Oryctolagus cuniculus: one gene and its partners. The protein of the gene in region 1 purifies or fractionates together with the protein of each later gene. This does not show direct contact. Links are inferred from orthologs where the notes say so. Each region holds a gene or a part of one and is shown in the gene's direction. Other genes may lie near its edges.

Region 1 (7,502 bases):
AGGGTACAGTTCTCCCTGCCCCCTTCACAAGGTGGAGCCTCACTCATCTGGGGTTCCTGCTATTTGCTTCTGTCACTGCAGGCCCAGTCATCACAAACCTAGCCCTTTAAAACGGCACTCAGCTGTCAGTTCCCAGTCCCGTACTGTGGAGTCCAGCCTGGGCACTCTGCTCAAGGTCAAAATCAAGGAATGGGCTGCACTGAGTTCTTGTCTGGAAATTCTGAGGGAAAATGTTTCCATGCTCATTCTTGCTGTTGGCAAAATTATGGTTCCTATTCCCTTGTTCTCAGCTTCCAGAGGTCAGCTACATTCCTTGCCAGTGGCCCCTTCCTTCCTTCAGTCAGCAGTGCCACAGCAAATCTTTCTCAGGCTATGAATCTGATGGCCTCTTCTGCATTCAGCTGAAGACAACGCTGCTTAACGGGATAGGGGGATGAGGGTCAGGAAGAGTTCTTCCATGTCACAGCCAGCACCCCATGGAACATAACCCAATCACAGGACCAAAGTCCATCTGTGCACAGTCCCAGGTTGTGCAATGTGCACACTAGAGGGTGGGAAATCTCAGGTGCCATCCTGGAATACTGCCCACCGCACCCCTGAGCTTGGAACTGGCTCACCTCTGCCTCTCTCTCTGCAGAGGACATCCTGGGCTTACAGGCCACACGGCCCTGGGAGTTTTACCCCAGCAGCTCCTGCCGGACAGTGGTCTTCCCACTGCTGACTTCTGGTTCTACCTTCTGGCTGCTCAGGCTCTGGGAAGAGCTGGGGCTCCGGCCGGGCCGGGTGAGTGGCTATGCACTCCTGGTGGGGCCCCGGCTCCTGCTCACTGCCCTCTCCTTTGCCTTGGATGGGGCCGTGTACCACCTGGCCCCACGGTGGGGGGCAGATCGTTGGAACGCCCTTGTCCTGCTGTCTGGTTCCTACGTCATCCTGGTCTTCTACACAAGGACTTTCTCCAATGCCATCGAGGGACTGCTCTTCACATGCCTGCTGATGCTGGTGCCCCCCAAGGCAGCACGGAGCCACACACTCAAGACGCCTGCTCCAGGTCCTCGGTGGCACAGCTGGCTTCTTGGCAGCATCGTGGCTGCTGGCTTCTTCAATCGGCCCACCTTTCTGGCATTTGCTCTGGTACCCCTCTTCCTCTGGGGCTCTCGGGGAGCCATGAACCCTGGCTTCAAGTCCCTGATCTGGAAGGCCCTGCTGCTGCTCCCAGGGATGGCCCTCACCGCAGTGGTGTTTGTGGCCTCGGACAGCTGGTACTTCTCCAGCCTCTCTAGATCCAGCACCCTGGTGCTTACGCCTGTTAACTTCTTGCACTACAACCTGGATCCCCACAATCTGGCAAGGCATGGCACACACGCGCGGCTCACTCACCTGGCAGTCAACGGTTTCCTGCTCTTTGGGGTACTGCATGCGCAGGCCCTGTGGGCTGCATGGCAACAGCTGCAAGTCTGCCTCCAGGCCTTTGCCCAGGTGGGCCTCTGGAGGAGGCTGGGTGCCCATGGCCTGCTGTCCAGCCCCAGGTCTAGCCTCCTTCTCCTGTACTTCACACCCCTGGCCCTGTTGTCCGCCTTTAGCCATCAGGAGGCTCGGTTCTTGATCCCCCTCCTGGTCCCTGTGGTCCTGCTCTGCAGTCCACGGACACAGCCTGTGCCCTGGAAGGGGGCTCTGGTCCTTTTCAATGCCCTAGGTGCCCTCTTCTTTGGCTGCCTGCATCAGGGGGGCCTGGTGCCCAGCCTGCAGTACCTGGAGCAAGTGGTCCACGCACCTGTGCTCCCGAGCGTGCCCACCCGCTACACACTCCTCTTCACCCACACCTACATGCCCCCCCAACACCTCCTCCACCTCCCAAGCCTGGGCTCTCCCGTGAAGGTGGTAGACATGGGTGGGACTGAGGACTGGGTCCTATGCCAAGCCCTCAACAATCTTACCAGACAACCAGCCTGCCAAGGGGCCGGGGGACCGTGGCTCTGCCGCCTCTTTGTGGTGACCCCTGGCACCACAAGGCGTGCTGTGGAGAAGTGCAGCTTCCCCCTCAAGAATGAGACACTCATATTTCCCCACTTGACCCTGGAGGATCCACCAGCCCTGTCTTCCCTGCTGAGCGGGGCCTGGAGGGACCACCTCAGTCTCCACATCATGGAGCTGGGAGAGAAGCCTGACAACACAGCAGAGCAGCCACTGCCCAGGATTCGGCCATAAAAGGAGCCACCATACCTTCCACATGGGTAGCTGGGCTGGGCTGCTAGTCCACAGGTCTCTTTCAGGATTTCCACCGCTGCCTCTCTAAGGCACAGCTGTTGGGTGTGCGGCCTTCTTGGTGAGCTGGCACTTCTCTCTCGGAGAACAAAGACCTGATGAGTCATGGTCCTGGTGTCAAGGTCTCCAAAGGATCCTGATGTGAATATGGCACCCGCTGTCTGCACCTGCCCTAGTCCTTCGGGCCACCATGATGTTTTAAATACGTAATAGTGCCTGGTTGTGAAGACAGGAACTACTAATGACAGATAGCTCTTTGGCTTCCTAAGTCAATCTGGCCTGTCGGATCCCAGGAGGGCAATGTGGTGACACAGAGAACAGGAGGCTCGGACTCAGGGGCGCCCTCTAGTCCCAGACCTGCCACTCACAGACCGTGTGACCTTGACAAAGCCCCTTTGGCTCAGAACACAGGAGGCCAGAGAATCTCTGCAGAATGTGTCAGCTAATTTTGTCATTCCTGGACTCCACAGCACACGTCCCCTGGCTTAATAGGCATCTCTCCCACAAAGCCCTTTAAGAATGCAAGTGGGAGTGGCAATGCATCTAATGGCACCTTGGTACCTGCTGTCTCTGTGTTCGGTTATTATCCAAACGAGTTATTCTGGAAGTTTTCTCCCCTCTCCTACTCCTGTTCCTAAGCCCTCCGGCCATTGCTGCACCTTGCCCTGCAGGCTCACTCTCGAAGAGGAGGGAGCCCAGGTGTTCTCCCACCTCAGCGATGTCACTCAGGTCCTTCCAACCTGCCCCGTGGGAACACAGTTGGAATCTATGATGCTTGGTCAGTACCGGTTACATTTAAAGGCTTCACGCTTCCTAGACGGAATGATTAATTGTGTAGCCTAAGTAGAGCCCATCAGACACCCAATCAAGAGCCGGAAATGACAGGGCACTTCTGTACACAATTTGCATCCTAATTGTAGGTCCGTTAGCTGGACCAGTGGTTTGTATCCCAGACCCACAAAAGTGAACAGGAATCCCGGTAGTCTTAATGCCTGGTGGTGACGGCGGTGGAGGAAGACAGGCACTGGGGCAGGGTAGATGCTGTGGAGAGTGGTGATTACGGATTTAGGCCCCGGAGTCAAATGCCTGTACTCACATTCCGCTCTGTAAGGCTCTGGGCAACGTAAGAAGTAATATCCACTTCCTCCCACGAACGCGCTGTAAAGAGTTAAGTGTGATAACCCACACTGAGAGCAATTAGCAAGCGCCAGCCCAGAATAAGCACTCACTGTGTGTGCCGGCCTACAGCGCCCAGGCCTCCCAATCCACCTGGTCTGAGAAGCACCACACTCACGCCGGTTAATCAGCTCACGCATTTAATCAGAGGATTTCGGCAGCTGCAGGGCCGTGTTTCCATCCATGATCTTCCCCGCATATCTAGCCCGAGTTCTTGTCCCATTTGTAGAGGGCAGGCTCCCTTTCTGGCTGCGTCCCGGGGCAGCCCCTCAGGCTTCGGGGTCTTTGGCCACACGGAGCTCTGCCCGTCACAGGGCTTCAACGAGGAGGTCCGTTCGGCCTGGGCTCTTCGTAGTGGGACGTCTGCAGGCCGGAAATCTGAGTCAGGGTTTCGAAGCTGTGCCCAGTTCCCGGGATGACTCCTCAGCGCCGAAGCCACTGTACAGTCCCGAAGCGAAAGTAGGCGACCTCGGCCCGGGCTCAAGGGTTTGCGCCTGGACCCCTCTGGCTCCCCGGTGGTGTCCCCGGGCGATCCCGGAGGCCACGGCGTAGTTCCTGTGTGAAGGCGTCTCGGAATCGCGCGGCGCGACGACCCAGCGAGCCGGCGGGCCCCGCCGCGAGGCCCCGCAGACGGCGGGCCGCGTCCTGGCCGCGCAGCTGGGCCTGCAGCAGCGCGAAGGCCGTAAGCTGCGCCGCACGCCGGATGGGCCGAGACTCGGCCAGCCGCTCCACCAGCTGCGGGCTGTGCAGCAACACAGCCAGCAGCCGCCGAAGAACCATCCTCGTGAGAGCGTCCCGGAACCAAGAGCACGCCTCCCTCGTCCCCGGACCGGCGGCGCTGGGCCGCGGACTGTGTCCGCCTCCGCGCCGTCTGATGACGACACTGCCGCGCTCGGATTGGTCTGGAGACTCCCACTGTGCGCCGCGTCCGCGCGTTTCCGTTTCCGCCGCCGCCGCTGCTGCCGCGCCGCCGCCCCAGTCCGGTTGTTCTCGGGAGTCGGCGCGTCGTTGTGCAGCTGTGTGAGCTATGTCGGGAGGCCTTCTGAAGGCGCTGCGCAGTGACTCCTACGTGGAGCTGAGCCAGTACCGGGACCAGCACTTCCGGGTGAGGGAGCCCGGGCCGCGCGACGGGCAGACCCTTGAGCCAGGACGCTGAGAAACGGTTTGCTCTTGCACATTTCTGCTGCCCCGAAACGGGCCATGGGTCCCCGGTGCCTGCTGGGGAGGCAGCGATGTTGGAGGGGACCCCACTCTGTTTCCGAGAGAGAGAGTTTGAGATTCGCTTTCCCGTTGCCTTGCAGCCGCTCCTCGTGCGCGGCCGGCGCAGAGGGCTCGAGCGGCGTCGTCAGCGCTGGCTGCTGTTCCTGCAGGCCGTGCGTCGGGAAAGTGACTTGTGATGAGGGGAGAGACTTTTTCATTGCTGGAGCGTGTGGAGGCGCCTTTCTGACACACATACCGTCCCCCGTCGGTCCCCCCCCCCCCCCGGTCTTAAATAATCGGCCAGTGTTCTTTGACGCTTCGGATCCTTTTTAAAATTTTTTGTTAGTGGCTCTAACTGGTGGGTGGGCGACACAAAATTGAGTCCTGTCTCTAACGTCGGGGAGAGTTCGGAGTGGGGTGGCAGATCGACCACCTAGAGGATGCCCGCGTGTTTAGATGGAAGAATGCTGGATTTCAGAAGGGGGGTTTTAGGCTGTATTACAACATACTTTGGGGAAAGGGGGCAGCTGCAGATACTTAGAGATGGGCTTTCCCGGTGACAGCGGGGATGGCCAGAGGTTGCGGCAGAGCAGCACTCATAACCTAATTACTAGGGAAACTATTGAACACCGTGTCGCAGTGTTTCGTGTTCCGTTAGGCGAGCTGGGGAGTGGGGGAGGCTGTTGCAGGCATTTGGGGAGTGAACCAGACTGCTTCTTTAAAAATCAGTGTATATTATTACATAGTCCAATTGGTTTCCTATTTGAGAAATTGGTTCACTCCCCAAATGCCTGGGAGACAGGAACTCAGTGACTTGAGGCCTCACCCATTGCTTCCAAGGGTGAGTATTAGCAGGAAGCCGGAATCAGAAGCGTAGCTAGGGCTTGAGCCCAGGCAGTCTGACCAGGATGTGGGTGTCCTAACTGCTGTGCCAAACACCAGCCCTCAGTTTTCTTGTGGTGTGAGTTTAGATGGTTTCGCTATTTCTCTAATTACCACTGAATGCGATCACATAAAACTGTTGTTCTAAGTAATGCGCTATAGAGCATTCAGGGACAGCTTATGCAGAGTGATTCTTGGAGTGAAGAGAACTGATCAGCACTACATGTAGAGCAGTGACTGAAGAAGTGAGGGCCACTGGAACAGTGCCCTGTGCGTGCTGGTGTGGATCTACTCATGGCCCTACAAGCTGGAATGCCACTGGTGTGGTTATCTTGGACTCTTAAGCTAGATCAGAGCGGCGGGAGAGTAAGTCAGCTGATGGGCCTCATATTTAATCACATGTATCCTTCCCAGTATGGAGGCTAGAAGGTCCAAAACAGCCATATATGGGTTTCTTTCTTAAAAAAAAAAAAAAAAGATTTATTTGAGAGGGAGAGATAGAGAAAAAGGTCTTCCATCCGCTGGTTCACTTTCCAAATAGTCGCAACAGCTGGAGCACAGCTGATCCTTCCTCCAGGTCTCCCACGGGGGTGCAGGGGCCCAAGCACGCAGGCTGTCTTCTGTAGCTTTCCCAAGCCATTAGCCAAGACCTGGATTGGAAGAGGAGCAGCTGGGATACAAACCAGCGCCCTTATGGGATGCCAGCACTGTAGGTGGAGACAGCCTATTACACCACAATGCCAGCACCCAAGATACTGGTTTCTGTGAAGGCATCATGTCTAGTCCATGATGAGCCATCTTGTCCCCAGGGATTGTCAGGTGTCTTGGTTAAAGCCAATTATATATTCCTGTCTCTGGTTTATCTTCCAAGTCAGGAACCTCACTAAGAAGATCTTTTTAGTCATCATTATCTTTTTTCCTGAACTCTGACCTTGTAAGTCATCTAAGCCATTGTTGCTTTGACAGTTTTATAAGGGAAACTTGATCTTTGAAAATCCATTTTTCTCTACAGAGAGAAGGGCCCTTCCTTATATACTGGGATTTTTCTTTTTTTTAAGATTTATTTATTTACTTGAAGAGTTACAGAGAGGCAGAGAGAGAGAGGTCTTCCATCCGCTGGTTCACTCCCCAGATGGAAGCACAGCTGGAGCTGCACCAATCCAAAGCCAGGAGCTTCATCCAGGTCTCCCACATGGGTGCAGGGGCCCAAGAACTTGAGCCACCTTCTACTGCTTTCCCAGGCCACAGCAGAGAGCTGAATTGGAAGTGAAGCAGCCAGGACTCGAACCAGTACCCATATGGGATGCTGGCACTGCAGGCAGCAGCTTTACCCACTACGCCACAGGACTGGCCCCTATACTGGAATTTAAACTTGGGCCATTAGAGAAAGATCCAATGCTGAGTATATGGAGTGTGAAAGAAAAAGGCACACTGCTTGTCTGGCAGTCTAATGCAGGAATGGAAAGGTGGCATGCACAGTGTCATTATTGTGAGCCTAACCCTCCCCTCCTGGACCTTGCTTAAGTGCTTTACAGAATTTGAATTCCCCCTCTTATTGGCAAGTTTTTGTGGTGGATTGGAATGATAAGGGAATTTTATTTCCAAATCAGAACTAATGTTTTATTGTACTTGGAGATACTATTTAAGCAAGGCTCTCTTTAAGTAAGTTGTATTGTTTAACTCTGTCTCTATTTGAAATTCTAGGGTGACAATGAAGAACAAGAAAAATTACTGAAGAAAAGCTGTACATTATATGTTGGAAATCTTTCCTTTTACACAACTGAAGAACAAATTTATGAACTCTTCAGTAAAAGTGGTGACATAAAGAAAATTATTATGGGTCTGGATAAAGTGAAAAAAACAGCATGTGGATTTTGTTTTGTGGAGTATCCTTCCTGTGTTATCTAATGTAGCTGTTGAACTAGGATAGAGCCGAGAGTGGCTGGCTGCCTGTTATTTAAAAACTGAGGGGGCAGGCACTT
Region 2 (7,843 bases), on another chromosome or scaffold:
CCAGATTCTGTCCCGGTTGCCCCTCTTCCAGGCCAGCTCTCTGCTGTGGCCCAGAAGTGCAGTGGAGGATGGCCCAGGTCCTTGGGCCCTGCACCCGCATGGGAGACCAGGAGAAAGCACCTGGCTCCTGGCTTTCAGATCAGTGCAGCGCGCTGCCTGCAATGTGCTGGCCCTAGCAGCCACTTGGGGGGTGAACCAACAGAAAAGGAAGACCTTTCTCTCTGTCTCTCTCTCTCTCTCACTGTCTAACTCTGCCTGTCCAAATAAATAAATAAATAAATAAACTGATCCAGCTCTCTGCTATGGCTTGGGAAAGCAGTAGAAGATAGCCCAAGTTTGTGGGAGACCCACAAGAAGCTCCTGGCTTCGGATCAGCTCAGCTCTGGCTGTTGTGGCTATTTGTGAGCTTCATTTATAACTGTTAATATTTATGACTGTTAAATATTTAGACATGTGATACAGATGTTAGGTAGGAAGTAAAAAATGAGCTTATGTGTGTGTGACAAAGGCCTAAGGCACTGACATCCAGGTCCAGCATCTGCATCTCAAAGTCACTTTCCAGGTGCAGCCCAGTATCTGCACTTCAAAACTCCTGCCCCTTCCGTCCTTCCCCCTGTCTGATAACTTCAGGGGGAAACTCAGAAAGGAATTTTTCATAAAGTCCTTTATTCCAGGAGGAGAAGAGGTGGGAAGGCAAGACCCACCCCCTTAAGAACCCCAGCCTCAACCAGACTGCACACTCAGCCCTCTGCCTTTCTGCTGAGCCACCCGCCTGGCCTGCCCAGGTGTATTCTCTCCACTCAACCGTGTAACCTCGCTCTCCCCCAGTCTGAGCGACTGGGCACTCTCTCTCAGGTTCTGTCTGGAGAGGTGCCCATCCGTTCTTATGGATGTCCCTACCCTAATAAACCTTGCTGTGTTGCTTTCCTCTGCTCTCTGTCTCATGCCTGAATTCTTTCTTGCATGAAGACAAGAACTCTTGCTTCTCCGGTAACACAGAGATGTCCACTGAAAATCTTGCCCGGCATCCCCCAAACAGCAGCTGTTTTAGGAATGGGCGGCTTATAAAGGACTTTGTGAGCTTTGAGATTCTTTCTCCTTTCTTAATACTCATCACATTGGGTTGTGTGTGTGTGTGTGTGATTACTTGCTTCTGGTAGATAGGAATCCACATGGAGGCAGGAACCGGGCTGTCTTGCTTACAAATGCGTCCTAGTGCTCAGATACAGTAAGTGGTCATTACATATGTCTAAAACTCCAAACTGAGCTTTGAAAGACACACGTTAAAGGACAGCAGCCAGAGTGAAGAAAGGTCTAGTAGAAGAGAATAAACTGAAGACAGATGCTAAATCAGAATAGGGACTGAGCAACAGTCTGGAAATTTCTCTTCAGCTCAATCTAGGAACAAACGTAAAACTCTGTTTCCTTAAGAATAACTTTAAAGTTATTAGTGAAAAATAAAAAACTTATTTTAGACTGTGAGGTAGAAACAGATTCTTTAAAAAGACACTGAGACTAGGCTGGCGCCGCGGCTCACTAGGCTAATCCTCCGCCTGCGGCGCCGGCACCCCGGAATCTAGTCCCGGTCGGGGCGCCAGATTCGTCCTGGTTGCCCCTCTTCCAGTCCAGCTCTCTGCTGTGGCCCGGGAGTGCAGTGGAGGATGGCCCAAGTGCCTGGGCCCTGCACTTGCATGGGAGACCAGGAGAAGCACCTGGCTCCTGGCTTCGGATCAGCACGGTGCGCTGGCCACAGCGCGCCAGCCCCAGCAGTCATTGGAGGGTGAACCAACGGCAAAGGAAGACCTTTCTCTCTCTCTCTCTCTCTCACTGTCCACTCTGCCTGTCAAAAAAAAAAAAAAAAAAAAAAAAAAAAAAAGAATCAGAGTTGAGTGGTGGGCTTTTGTCCTATGGAGAGGCTGAGTGTGGAAGCTGACAGGAAGCCTATATCCATTATTGGAGTGCCTAGGTTCAAGTCCTGGCTCTGCTTCTGATTCTTCCTGGTAATATGCACCCTGGGAGGTAGCATGTGATAGCTTAAACAAACAAGCAAATAGAAAAATAAAAAAATCAGAGGTGGTTTGTGTCCCAGCTGCTCCACTTCTGATGCAGCTTCCTGCTAATGGTCTGGGAAAAGCAGTGGAAGATGACCCCAGTGTTTGGGCCTCTGCCACCCATGTGGGAGACCTGGTTGAAGATCCCAGCTCCTAGCTTTGGCCTGGCCCAACCCTGGCCATTGCAGCGATCTAGGAAATGAACCGGCGGATGGAAGATCTCTGTCTCTCCCTCTTTCTCTGGTGCTCTGATGCACCTGGGAAAGCAGCAGAAGATGACCCAAGTCCTTGGGCCCCTGCACCCACGTGAGAAATCTAGAAGAAGCTCCTGACTCCTGGCTTCAGTCTGGCCCAGCCCTGGCCACTGTGGCCATTTTGGGGAGTGAACCAGCGGATGGGAGAGCTTCTTCTCCCTGTCTCTGCCTCTCCACCTCTGTAAGTCCACCTTTCAGGAACTCCACGAGAGTCTCCCATGTGGGTGGTAGGGATCCAAGCACTTGGACCATCATCTGCTGTCTTCAAGGCATATTAGCAGGAAGCAGAGCAGCCAGGACTCGGTTGCCAGCCTCCTAGTCAGAGGCTTAGCCCGCTGAGCCCCAACTCCTGCCCTTGTCCAATGTTTCAGAAGTACCCTCGTATTTCTACCAACCGTTACATACTTTCTATAATCCACTTGAATTATACTTGCATACTTGTATTCCCAAAGTATGTCCCATATAATAAAAGGAAGCCCACTTGCTGCAGAAAGCAGCTAATGGTGTTATCCACCCAAAATATGTTCCTCGAAAACTTCCTTCGATGACCCTAGGGTCATCTGAGGACCAGGGCTGGACCGCTGTGAAGGCTGAGATTATGAGGGTACGAGAACAAGAGGATTCGGGGCCACCCGAGTACAGGAACTGTCCGAGGGGGCGCTGGAGGATGCTGAAGAAAGCGGGCGTCGCAGAGCTAATTGGAGTACCTACGAAGCGCCAGGCGCTGTTTGCCTGGAGAAAGCCAACCGCGGTCCCTCGGTGCGGGAGTCCGGGGCACACACCCCTACACACACACACTACACGCATAAACGTGGACGTATCAGGTGAACAGAGGTGCTATTTATAACATCTAACAGAGCAAAGGAAGAGCGCACGAGGGAGGATGCTATTCGGGGAAACCCCAAAGAAGCAAAGGAGCAAGGCCGGCACGGTTTCTCTCCCTCTTCTACGCGGAGGCTGCAGGGAGCGCGGCTCACCTCCCAGGAAGCTCCGCCTCTCTTCCCCGATAGGGCGCAAGGTGCCATCTCGCTGGAAGCCCCTCCCTTTGCCCCGCCCAGAGGCGGCCTTGAAGGCGGAGCTTCGCGCCCAGCGCTCGGAGCCGCGCCGCGCTCAGAGCCGCGCGCGCAGGGGTCCCGGCATTCACCTCGCTCTCTGGGCGGGTACAACTACTACGCCTGGAGCCTGGCATGCTGGGAACTGTAGTTGCCACCTGCTGCCCCGAGTCCGGGAATGGGTAAAAGCCACTGAGTCCGGCTCCATTTCTAGCACATGACTTGCTGCCCCGAGGGGAGGCCCTGCTGGGGCGGGCAGGGTCATCCCGAGAACCAACCCGGCCAGCGTCCCGGCCGGCCGCCGCCCCCGGTCACGTGTCCTCAGCCTCCCCGGGCGCGCGCAGCTCCCTACCGCCGTGCCCGCCCCGCCCCTCCCGGCCCGGCCGACGGCCCGCGCCTCCCCCGGCGCTGCTGCCACCTCGCGCTCGGAGGCGTCACGGAACGTGCTCGCTTCTCCCCCTCCCCCTCCCTTCCCCTCCCGCCCTCCCCCACTCCCCCTCCCGCGCCGAGACTCGCCGCCGCCGCAGCCGCAGGAGTAGCCGCCGCCGGAGCCGCGCGCAGCCATGGCCGAGAACCCCGGCTTGGAGAACCACCGCATCAAGAGCTTCAAGAACAAGGGCCGCGATGTGGAAGTGAGTGTGCTTCCGCGGTCCGGGCCCGCCCGGCTTGCCCGCCCGGCCGCGCCGGCCCGGCGGCGGGGAGGGGCGGGGGGCTGGCGCCGCGCTGGTTCTCGCCGGCTTGCGGTCGGTCGGAGTTGGCCGCTGTCTCCCGTCCCCGCGGCCCGGGGCTGGGCGAAGCGGGACGCGGGACGCGGGGCCGGGCTGCAAGCGCCCTCGGGAGCTGCCGGCACAGGGACCAGGGGAACGCCAGGGCTTTCGGCCCCGTCACGCGGGCGCGGCCTGGTGTCGGCGAGGAAGGGATGTGGGGCTGAGGCGGGGTCCGCGGGCCGGGGCCGCGCGGGCGCACGGGGATGCTGCCGCCCCGGGCCGCCGTCCGCTCCGCCGAGGGGGCGGCCGCGCCTCGCGCCCGCTGCCCTCGCTCTCTCCCGCCCGGCGCAGCCCCCTCGGTGCCTCCCGCGCTGCCGCACATGGAGCCTCGGCAGTGCCGGTCCCCGCGCCTACCTCCTGCAAGCCGGGCCCAGGCGGGCGGTGGCGGCCCGCAGAGGGGGGTGGGGACCAGCCGGGTAACCGACTTGTTTGAGGGTGGTGGATGGGGGAGGGTAGGGATGCACCAGGACCATTTTCTTATATTCCACTGCTGGTCTTTGGACCGGTCGTGCTGTGCTTTTCCAGCTCATAACTCCTGTTACTGCTGGCATTTGGAGCGAGCTGAAGGTGGACAATAGTTTACATCTATTGTGTTGAGGCTTGGGGAAAGAGGTGGTTCCGACCTCCGCTCCTAGGACCTGTTTTCTTAGCCTTTCTTGGAATGGGGGTATGCACAGGATGATCATTTGTTTGGCATGTTTCGCTGAAATAAATTGGATACGTGGGTTCGTACGTCCTTGTGCATACCTCGTGTTCCAGGCAGGTAGAATTTCCAGGTGGCTGCAAAACTAAACCTTCATCGTGGTCATTCAGTTCGTTGCTACTCAGTATGTTGCCATTGTCTCATTACGGTGACATTAGCAGGTAGTATTTGCAAACTCGGCGTATTGAGGCAGCGCTAGAGGTCTCTCTGCAGCTACTAAAAGCAATGAAGCATTCTGCACAAACTTCACAGGGATCCTGACCTCTGGATTTGTTAGGGGGGGATGATTTTACCTCCTTTGCTAATACTAGGGGATAGGATTTGCAGTTCTGTAATTTTGACTCAGGGGCCAGTGTGACTAAGAAGAATATATTTTATTGTGACTAAGAAGAATATATTTTATTCTGTCTCAAAGAGAGAAGGTGGTGGGGAGAATAAACCATTCAGCTTTATGTTTTTTAGAGACAAACTCTGGCCATGATCTGGAGCTATAAATTAAGTACTAATTGGAAAAAACCTGGGGAAATATCTGTGGAATTCCCATTCGAGTGAGACAAGTAAAGGTCATCTATCTCTGTCTTGGTCGTGGTTACGTTTCGCTTGTGGGAAATACTTCTAAGCAAAGATGAAACTTGAGAAATGGGAACTAGAAATTTTGGAGCAGCCTTTTCTTATCAGTCTACTTGATGAGAAGAGTTAATTCTGAACTTTTTTCATCAGTAATTTCTTTGAAGTCTACTCCATTGCAAAACACAATTTATATAGTTTAAAATGGTCATATTGTTCGTACAAAAGAACTAGTAACATTCTTTCTTCGGCATTGGTACAGATTTCTGTTCTTGTTTGCCTTATTATTGTGTTCTGGTGTCTTAGTGATACCTATTAAAGACTCCTGCACATAATAGATACACAACAGGTACTTGCTGATGATCAAAAGGTAACTAGTGACTTCTAGATGTGAGAAAGACAGCATGGTTGCCAAGCCATTCAGCCTGACACTGGTCACAGCATTACATTTCTCAAGAAACATTAGATAACTGACACATGAAATAGCTGACATTTAAATAGTAGTTCAGGGGCCAGCACTGTGGTATAGCAGGTAAAGCTGCCACCTGGGACACCGGCATCCCATATGGGTGCAGTTTGAGACCCGACTGCTCCACTTCCGATCCAGCTCCCTCTCCCTGCTGATTGATCTGGGAAAGCAGTGGAGGATGGCCCAAGTGCTTGGGCCCCTGCACCCACATGGAAGACCAGGAGAAGCTCCTGGCTCCTGGCTCCCAAAATAGTTCCTTTGTGGTCATTTAGGGAGTGAACCAGTGGGTGGAAGGTCTCTCTGTCTCTGTTTCTCCCTCTCTCTGTAACTGCATTTCAAATAAATACATCTTACTAAAACAGCCACATGTTTAAAAAAGTAGTGATTCAGTGTGGCAATCACTATGCTGCACTGAGAGCTTCATGATACCTCATAATCCTATCACAAATTGTGAGCTAGATGTGGTCTTATCCCCACTTTAACTGAGTAAAGTACTTCAGATGCAGAAGCTTAGTGCTTATGTTGTATGTGCAGGTCATGCAGGATATGAGCACTCACTGTCTTGGGTATTTAACAGTGTTAGGTCTTGGGTACTCAGAGGACTTGGATTTAGCTTACATGATTCAAGAAGTTTGCAGTCCAAAGGGAATGATATTTACAATACACTGTATCAGTGTGTGTTACGATACAGGTGTTTGGAAAATGCATTGGAAGACCCTAACTTGGAGCTGAGCCATCAGAGATGTTCTGGTTAATTCCTTACAGATGAATGGGAGTGAGCTGATCCTGAAGGGGAGGACTCAGGAGAAGGGGGAGGGAAAAGAAGGGGCATTCCAGACTTGAGGGAGCAGTAATGGAAGAGCATGGAGAATGTAGTAGACTGCGAGGCTGTGAGAGAGGGGGAGAGGGAGTGGTAGAGATGTGACTAAGGGTCGGATCTGACCAAGGGCCTTCATTGTGGATTGAGGGATAACTGATACTATGTGGCATGTCTAATTGAGTCTATCTGTTAGAAACTGTATTATATTAGAAACATACTACACCTCAGCTCTGAGTAGTTGTGATTATCAAGCTGTTAAAAAACAGGTGAACCTTGATTATTCTTTTCACAGGGTAGATAAAGGTGAAACAAGCCAACATCTGATACACAAGATGCTAGATGTAGGAATAAATATGTTATTTTCTAAAGAGAATGAAAGGGTAGCATTATGCCAAGGAGATTGGATAAAGAGAGTTGTGGAAGAAAATAATTTCATAGTCATTTAGTCAAGAATGGCTTCTTAGAAGGAAAATTGGAGAGAACAAATGAAGTCGATGATTCTTATAGGAAATATGTGCCCAGCTTAAAAGGGGCACATGAGAAATTAGTGGCTAAAGACCCAGGTAGAAAAGAAGATTAGGTTAGGGTGTGAAGAGCTGAGGCTTCCTGATGGCCTGTTTGTTCAGAGGATGAGAATGCCTTGTGGCAAAGAGATGCTTGGAAGTTTTTCTTGATAGGAAGATCTGAAGGAATTCATTGCAGAATGGAGTTAGTAGATGGAAAAGGGTGACAGGGCAGTAATAGCTAGAGTTAGTTGTGAAGGAATAGTACTGTTATTTGATCTGCAAGAAGGAATTTCCAAAAACTTGAGACTGGAGGTGGCTACAACCTGGAAAGAGAATTTGATGATGATCTTTCTCCTGCTCCCCAGAAGAGAAAGAGATAAAGGTTATGCTGAGGTTTATGGATGAAAGTAGGGAAGGGAGTAGTTATCACTGATAGCAATTTGGAATTTGGAAAGGAGAATGGATTTTGTAGCTAAAACTAGGAAGTACATAGTGAAAATGACACTCTTAATTTCTTTTGTTTTTAAAAAAGGTTTATTTATTTAAAATTCAGAGTTACAGAGTGGGGATAGAGATCTGCTGTGGCTGTTGCCTGCATTGTGGCACAACAGATTAAGCTGCCACCTGCAGTGCCTGCATCCCATATGGGCTCCA
Region 3 (7,045 bases), on another chromosome or scaffold:
CGGTAGGAGTTTGCCTTCTAATCCAAAGGGAAACAATCATTGAACCTTATGGAGGAAGTTGGTGTGTGTACAGCAAGGCGGGTATCTGTGGAAAGAAAGAAAACAGTTCTAACTGCCAGTAGCAAATTGCGTGTGACATTCCCAGGCATTCTGACAATAATGGAAAAGACGAAATCTTCTGAAAGTGAGAACTGAGAGCTCTGCTAATTTCTTAAGAGACCTTAGAATTAAATGCTGCATTAGCTGTAGAAATAAGAATGCGTAGCCTTTTTTCTTCCAAGATTCATTTATTTATTTAAAAAGCAGAGAGACACATCTTTGATCTACTGGTTCACTCCTCAAATGCCCCCAATAACCAGGGTGGGGCCAGGCTGATGGCAGGAGCCCAGAATCCCACCCAGGTCACCCACATGGGTAGGAGGGGCCCGAGGACTTCGGCCATCTTCTGCTGTCCTTCCAGTATATTAGCGGGGACCTGGATCAGAAGTGGAGCAGCCAAGACTCAAAGTAGGCACTCAGATACGGGATGTGAGGTGTCCAAGATAACAGCTTAATCATTGCACTTCACAACGCCCATGCCAGGTTTTTTAGCTTTATATTTGGCAAATTCCATAAGCATTGGTTTCAGAGATGTTTTTGAAGACAATTTTGTTCTAGAATAGTCCAGTTGAGTCTCTCTCTCCCTCGCTCTTTATTTTTTTAAGCAGCACATGGCGGGTGGAATACATGGCGGAATGTGTTTTGTGGAACTGACCGTGTCTCCTCTTGCTTGCAGAAAGTTCTAGTAGGGGGCAGTGCCGCGAGGGGCTTGCAGAGTCCCACAGCAGCGGGTGCACCCGCGTCACATTACCGGACTGTTAAAAGTGTGGATTCAAGTGAAGAGAGCTTTTCTGATTCAGATGATGAGAGCTCTCTTTGGAAGCGCAAGCGACAGAAGTGTTTGAGCCTGCCTCCCAAGCCAGAGCCCTTCCAGTTTGACCAGAGTAGTCAGAAGCCCCCCGCCGCCGGAGGAAAGAAGGTTAACAACATCTGGGGCGCCGTGCTGCAGGAGCAGAACCAGGACGCCGTGGCCACTGAACTGGGCATCTTGGGAATGGAGGGCACGATTGACAGAAGCAGGCAGTCAGAGACCTACAATTACCTGCTGGCTAAGAAACTCAGGAGGGAATCTCAGGAGCACGCAAAAGATGTAGACAAGGAGCTAGACGACTACATGCATGGTGGCACAAAGGGGGGGTCGAAGGACGAGGAAAACGGGCAAGGGCATCTCAAGCGGAAGCGGCCCGTCAGAGACAGAGTGGGAGCCAGGCTGGAGATGAACTACAAAGGCCGGTACGAGATCACGGAGGAGGATTCTCAGGAGAAGGTGGCCGATGAAATCGCTTACAGGTGAGCAGCTAACTCGGGCCTACCAATGCACGCTCGACCCAGCTCTGTTCTGTTGTTGGAAACTCAGTGTGCATTCATGATGGCAAACGCATTAGCAATGTTGCCTTGAATTTTAATTACTTGGTTATTTTGCTTAAAGAACTCTGTGATTATTTGGTTATGTCAGTACATTTGTGTTTTAAATTTGAACAAGACTGAGAGGATAATCTTGCAGACTTCTAAAACTTTAAGTAACTCTTTGCATTTTGTGCCATAAAGCTCTTATATGGCACTTTTTTTGAATTCTGTGTATTGACTTGTTGTTATTTTCTGGAGCAGGCCAAAGCCAGGAGCCTAGCACTCCGTCCAGGTTTGCGACATGGTGCCTTCTGTCTGCCATGGTGCACGGTCACAAGAAGCTGGATCAGATGCAGAGCCAAGGCCTGAATGCGCGCGCTGATACGGGATGCACACATCCCAAGCAGCATGTGCACGCGCACACGAAGTGCCTGCCCCCAGGGCATCTTTTTAAATTATGTCTCTCTCTAGAGTTTTCAAGCACTTGTGACTTTGTAAACTAGCTCTTGAGGATTATTTTACGTATACTATTCACTCATCTCAAGTGTTGGGCTTTTTCAGCAAATTTATCAAGCTGTACAACCATCACCAACACTTTTTTTTTTCTTTTTGGGTTTATTTGTTTATTTGAAAGAGAGAGACAGATATTGCTGGGTCACTCCATAATGATCTTTAACAGCCAGGACAGGGTCAGGCCAAAGCCAGAACCCAGGGACTCCATGCTGGTCTCCTATATGGACAGCATGGATCCAAGCACTTGAAACATCGTCTGCTTCCTTCCCAGGGTGCACATAAGTGGGAAACTGGATCGGAAGCTGAGGCAGGACACAATCCCAGGCACTCCAGTGCAGGTGTACTGAGCGTGGCTTAACCTCCTGGGCCACTACACCAGCCACTCGTTGTGTCCATGTGCCCGTGCACAGTTGTGAACCCCTGTCCTTATTCCTACGTGACTCCTCATCTATACCTCATATAAACGTGCCTTTTCTGGGCATTTCATAGTATGTGAAATTTCACAGACTATGGTCACATGCCTGGCTTATTTCACTGAGTGTAATGTTTCTGAGATTGAGTCATGTAGCAGACATCAGTCCCTAATTGCTTGTGTATGTGCGTGTGTGTTCCTCCCTTCTGTATGGATATTCTACTTCTGTTTCGAATCTTCACATGCAGATATTAGAACATATATTTTCGGCCGGCGCCGCGGCTCACTAGGCTAATCCTCTGCCTTGCGGCGCCGGCACACCGGGTTCTAGTCCTGGTCGGGGCGCCGGATTCTGTCCCGGTTGCCCCTCTTCCAGGCCAGCTCTCTGCTGTGGCCAGGAAGTGCAGTGGAGGATGGCCCAGGTGCTTGGGCCCTGCACCCCATGGGAGACCAGGAGAAGTACCTGGCTCCTGCCATCGGATCAGCGCGGTGCGCCGGCCACAGCACACCAGCCACGGTGGCCATTGGAGGGTGAACCAACGGCAAAGGAAGACCTTTCTCTCTGTCTCTCTCTCTCACTGTCCACTCTGCCTGTCAAAAAAAAATTTTTTTTTGTTTTCATTTCTTTTGGGTAAATACTTGGGAGTAGAATAGCTTTGTGAATGATAAATTTATAATTCATGTATTTTTAAGAAGCTCACATTTTGATTCATTTTCCATTATCTCCAGCTTACTAATATACAGTGTCACACATTTGAAAATAGATACGGCTCAGGAGTAGTATGTGGGCAGGCATTTGTACAGCACTTAAGATGTCACTTGGAACACCCACACCCATGTTGGAGTGGCAGGTTCAAGTCCTGGCTCCACTTTGAGCTTCCTGCTGATTTGCTCTCTAGGAGGCTTCAGATGGCGTCTCGAGTCAATGGGTTCCTGCCACCCGTGTGGGAACCTGACTTGAGTTCATAGCTCCCAGCCTCGGCCTGACCCAGCCCTGGTTTTTGCAGCCCTTGTGGGGAAAGAATCAGTGGATGAAATCTTTCTCCCCAGCTCCCCTCCCCTGTGTGTGTGTGTGTGTGTGTGTATGTGTGTACCTCTGCCTTTCAAATAAATAAAAGTAAAAATGTAAAGAGGAGGGGTAGACGTTGAGGCACAGTGAGTTAACCACCGCAGTGGACACCTGCATGCCATGTTACAGTACCCGGTTTGCATCTCAGCTACTCCATGCTTGTGGTCCAGTGTCCTGCTAATGTGCCAGGTAGGCGGCAGATGATGACCCAAGTGACTGGGTTCCTGTCACCCACACGGGAGGCCCAGGTGGGCTTCCTGGCTTTGGCCTGGCCTCACCCCGGCTGGTGAAGGAGTGAACTAGCAGTTGGAAAACATCCTTCTCTTCCCCTCTTCCCCCATGTTTCCCTCTGTCTCTGTCACTCTTTCATACAGCTATGAAACAAGTATTGGCTTTCCAGGCAAATCTACCTCAACACTAGTATGGGTTTTAATGTACTGAGAAGTTTGGGATTTGAGTGCTGGAGTGAGATTTTGCAAACTTGATAGATAAGAGGAGTCAGACCCCGTCAGTGGGAACGTGGCATGCCCAAGGTTACAGATGTATTTTCGGACCAGGGGCTAGGCCCTGGTCCCTTTGCTCCTAGCCCGGTGCCCTTTGTACAGATGCGCGCCACCTTCTGCTGAGAGCCAAAGGGTGCCAGGTCTGACGAGCAGGTCAGCCTTCTGTGCTGTTATTCTCCCTCCCCTTCGTGAAGTGGTGGCTCTGACAGTAGAATTTCTTGGGCTCCCTGTGTTTTAAGTGGACACTGTAGTGTTGACATCATAACGTTGCAGAGAGAACTATCTGAGTGGTGCATAAAAGTTTTTGGTAGGTTTCAGCTGCTTCTTTGTTGTTCCGGGGCAGCCTGTGAGGGAAAGGGTGCATGCATTTTAGAGCTCCCAGGTGTCTTTGGGGTTGGGAAAGCCAGCGTTAGGCGTACTTGAAAGCATAGTACAGTACGTGTTTGTTGTGACAGGAGTGGAGTGGGTTTATCTTCTTTTGCATTTGGGTTTCTGTTCATACCTTGCTATCGGTGCCTATCTGTTTTGAAATCTGCCATAATCCACCTGCAAGTGACAAGGCCAAATAACCTTGAGGTTATAATGTCCCTGTGTGGCCTAAGATTACGATGGTTGGTGCCAGTGATTCCAAGGTTAAATATTGAATATTTAGAAAAGCAGAAGTTAGGGGCCAGGACTGTGGCGCTGTGGCATAGGGTAAAGCCTCTGCCTGAGGCACCAGCATCCCATGTGGGCACTGGTTCGAGTCCCGGCTGTTCCTCGTCCGATCAGGCTCTCTGCTATGGCCTGGGAAAGCAGCAGAAGATGGCCCAAGTGCTACGTCTCTCAAGTAAATAAATAAAATCTTTAAAAAAAAAAAAAAGGCAGATGTTATTACAATGGGATTTTCATTATAGTTAAGGAGTAAACTATCAATTTCTTCAACTCTTTACACAAAGAAAGAGGTTAATTTTGCTTTATTTGTTCTTTATCAGGTTACAGGAACCAAAGAAAGATCTGATAGCCCGAGTAGTGAGGATAATTGGAAACAAAAAGGCGATTGAACTGCTGATGGAAACTGCTGAAGTTGAACAAAATGGTGGCCTTTTTATAGTGGTAAGACTGCTCTACTGTTTAGTATTTTTTAACATGATTTTTTCTTTAAGAAAGCAATATTGCCTCTTTTGCATCTCTTATTTATCATCCTTTATGATGTTTTTCATATTTTTAAAAACTATATCAGCAATGAATAGTGAATTTAGAAATTCTGAACTTTTGGCAATTAATACTTACATTTATCTACCCAAAAAGCTAGATAAATTTTAGTATCTTAGTGTGTTGCAGTTAAGAGTGTATCTCTCTTGATTCATTAAAGGTCGGGAGTGCAGTTTTAACAGCTTCGTGGGGAAGCTTGAGAGCCCACATTGGGTGGGTTCGGGGGTCTGGGGTCTGTGCTGTCCCGAGGCTGTGCTTTCTGAGCTTCGGAGGGCTTGTTCGGCTCCTGGGCACCTCCGTCTGCTCAGCCCTGATGAGCATTAGTCGGCTTGATGCAGGTGAAGTCCTTCCCACAGTGCCCACGACTAGAAATGTTACTTTGGGTTCATTTAATTTCATGCTCTTTTCTTGAAAAGAGGAGCAGAAAGTGTTTCTTCGTGTATGAAGCACAGGTAGGTGCACACCATACCCATTGTCTTAAAATTTCATAGGTGGTAGGGATGAAAGAGAAAAAAACCTCTCTGAAAAATGCCGGTGTGGGGGATGATGATGGAACAAGGGTCGCGAGCCTCTGCTGGCTGTTTGAGAATGACAGAGCACTTCTCAGCTGGGCCACACTGGGCTCCGGCAGCCACCTCACCCTGCACAACGGCTGCACAGATCTCGGGCTGGGCCAGACTGGGCTCCGGCAGCCACCTCACCCTGCACAACGGCTGCACAGATCTCCTTTAACGTAGCCCTCAGCCCAGGGTGTGGATGGATGGATCAGTACGCTGTGCAAACAGAGAAAAGGAGCCACTTAGCATCCACTGTGGAAACAGCTTGTGAGCATAAATTGCAGACATTAAAATGGAATTTAGCAGCAAAGCAAGTAATAATCAGGACTGCACTGTGTCCCTGTTACTCTACTTAGAGTCTCATTCAGTTTTATGCAGATTTAGATTCATCGGTATTTTACTACTGTGGTAATAAAATTTTAGATTCCAGTGAGCTAATGCAGGCTAGAAGTTGGGAAGATGGAAGTCCAGGTTCATTTTCTTCAGCTATATTCTTTTCCTTAAACAATTATTTCCTGAGTAACTCCCGTGTGCCAAGTACTCTTCTAGAACAAAGAGTTTACCTTAGGGTTGGAGGTGAGAGGGAGACAGTCCATAAGTGGTCAAGTTCAATAACTGTAGGTGCATCAGGAAGTGATACATCCTGTGGGGAGAGACGATCAAATGGAGGTGGAGGGAGCGGAGGAGAGAAGGAGGTGGCAGTAAATGAGCGATCAGGGCAGAGCTGTATTACAGGAAGGTGCCTGTTGAACTGACATGAAGGGGCAGTGCCTGCAGGACTAGAACTAGGCTGAGTGGGACTCGACTTGCCTTAGGTGCAGAATTGAGGGACTGCTGAAAAAGCTCAGTAATCAAGATAGATAATTCTTTAATGCAGCATTTTCAAAAATCAAAATTAATGCAAAAAATCGGTAATGGGCAAACATTTTTTTTTCCATTTTCGTCTTATTTGAAAGAGGCAGAGAATGATAGAGAAGGGTCTTCCATCTACTAGTTCACTCCCTAAAGGCCTGCAACAGGCCGGCGCCGCAGCTCACTAGGCTAATCCTCCGCCTTGCGGCGCCGGCACACCGGGTTCTAGTCCCGGTCGGGGAGCCGGATTCTGTCCCGGTTGCCCCTCTTCCAGGCCAGCTCTCTGCTGTGGCCAGGGAGTGCAGTGGAGGATGGCCCAAGTGCTTGGGCCCTGCACCCCATGGGAGACCAGGAGAAGTACCTGGCTTCTGCCATCGGATCAGCGCGGTGTGCTGGCCGCAGTGGGCCAGCCATGGCGGCCATTGGAGGGTGAACCAATGGTAAAGGAAGACCTTTCTATCTGTCTTTCTCTCTCACTGTCCACTCTGCCTGTCCAAAA

The links.
Region 2: the proteins of NCBP2 (region 1) and KPNA3 purify together in Homo sapiens (co-immunoprecipitation; 3 studies listed by BioGRID and IntAct, with this or other methods). This does not show direct contact. The link is inferred for Oryctolagus cuniculus from reciprocal best matches to the Homo sapiens genes NCBP2 and KPNA3.
Region 3: the proteins of NCBP2 (region 1) and PHAX purify together in Homo sapiens (affinity purification with mass spectrometry; 5 studies listed by BioGRID and IntAct, with this or other methods). This does not show direct contact. The link is inferred for Oryctolagus cuniculus from reciprocal best matches to the Homo sapiens genes NCBP2 and PHAX.

Annotation. Positions count from the first base shown.
Region 1 is NC_091435.1:83,418,019-83,425,520, reverse strand, and holds the start of NCBP2 (nuclear cap-binding protein subunit 2), read left to right. Parts: upstream 1-4,339; 5' UTR 4,340-4,465; coding exon 4,466-4,543; intron 4,544-6,561; exon of another isoform or gene 6,562-7,224; coding exon 7,225-7,406; exon of another isoform or gene 7,407-7,502. Other genes in the region: PIGZ (GPI mannosyltransferase 4), read left to right, coding at 638-2,205; protein NCBP2AS2, read right to left, coding at 3,919-4,218. UniProt on the Homo sapiens protein: Component of the cap-binding complex (CBC), which binds co-transcriptionally to the 5' cap of pre-mRNAs and is involved in various processes such as pre-mRNA splicing, translation regulation, nonsense-mediated mRNA decay, RNA-mediated gene silencing (RNAi) by microRNAs (miRNAs) and mRNA export.
Region 2 is NC_091440.1:69,092,718-69,100,560, reverse strand, and holds the start of KPNA3 (importin subunit alpha-4), read left to right. Parts: upstream 1-3,733; 5' UTR 3,734-3,920; coding exon 3,921-3,989; intron 3,990-7,843. UniProt on the Homo sapiens protein: Functions in nuclear protein import as an adapter protein for nuclear receptor KPNB1. Binds specifically and directly to substrates containing either a simple or bipartite NLS motif.
Region 3 is NC_091437.1:15,874,262-15,881,306, forward strand, and holds part of PHAX (phosphorylated adapter RNA export protein), read left to right. Parts: intron 1-775; coding exon 776-1,389; intron 1,390-4,917; coding exon 4,918-5,038; intron 5,039-7,045. UniProt on the Homo sapiens protein: A phosphoprotein adapter involved in the XPO1-mediated U snRNA export from the nucleus.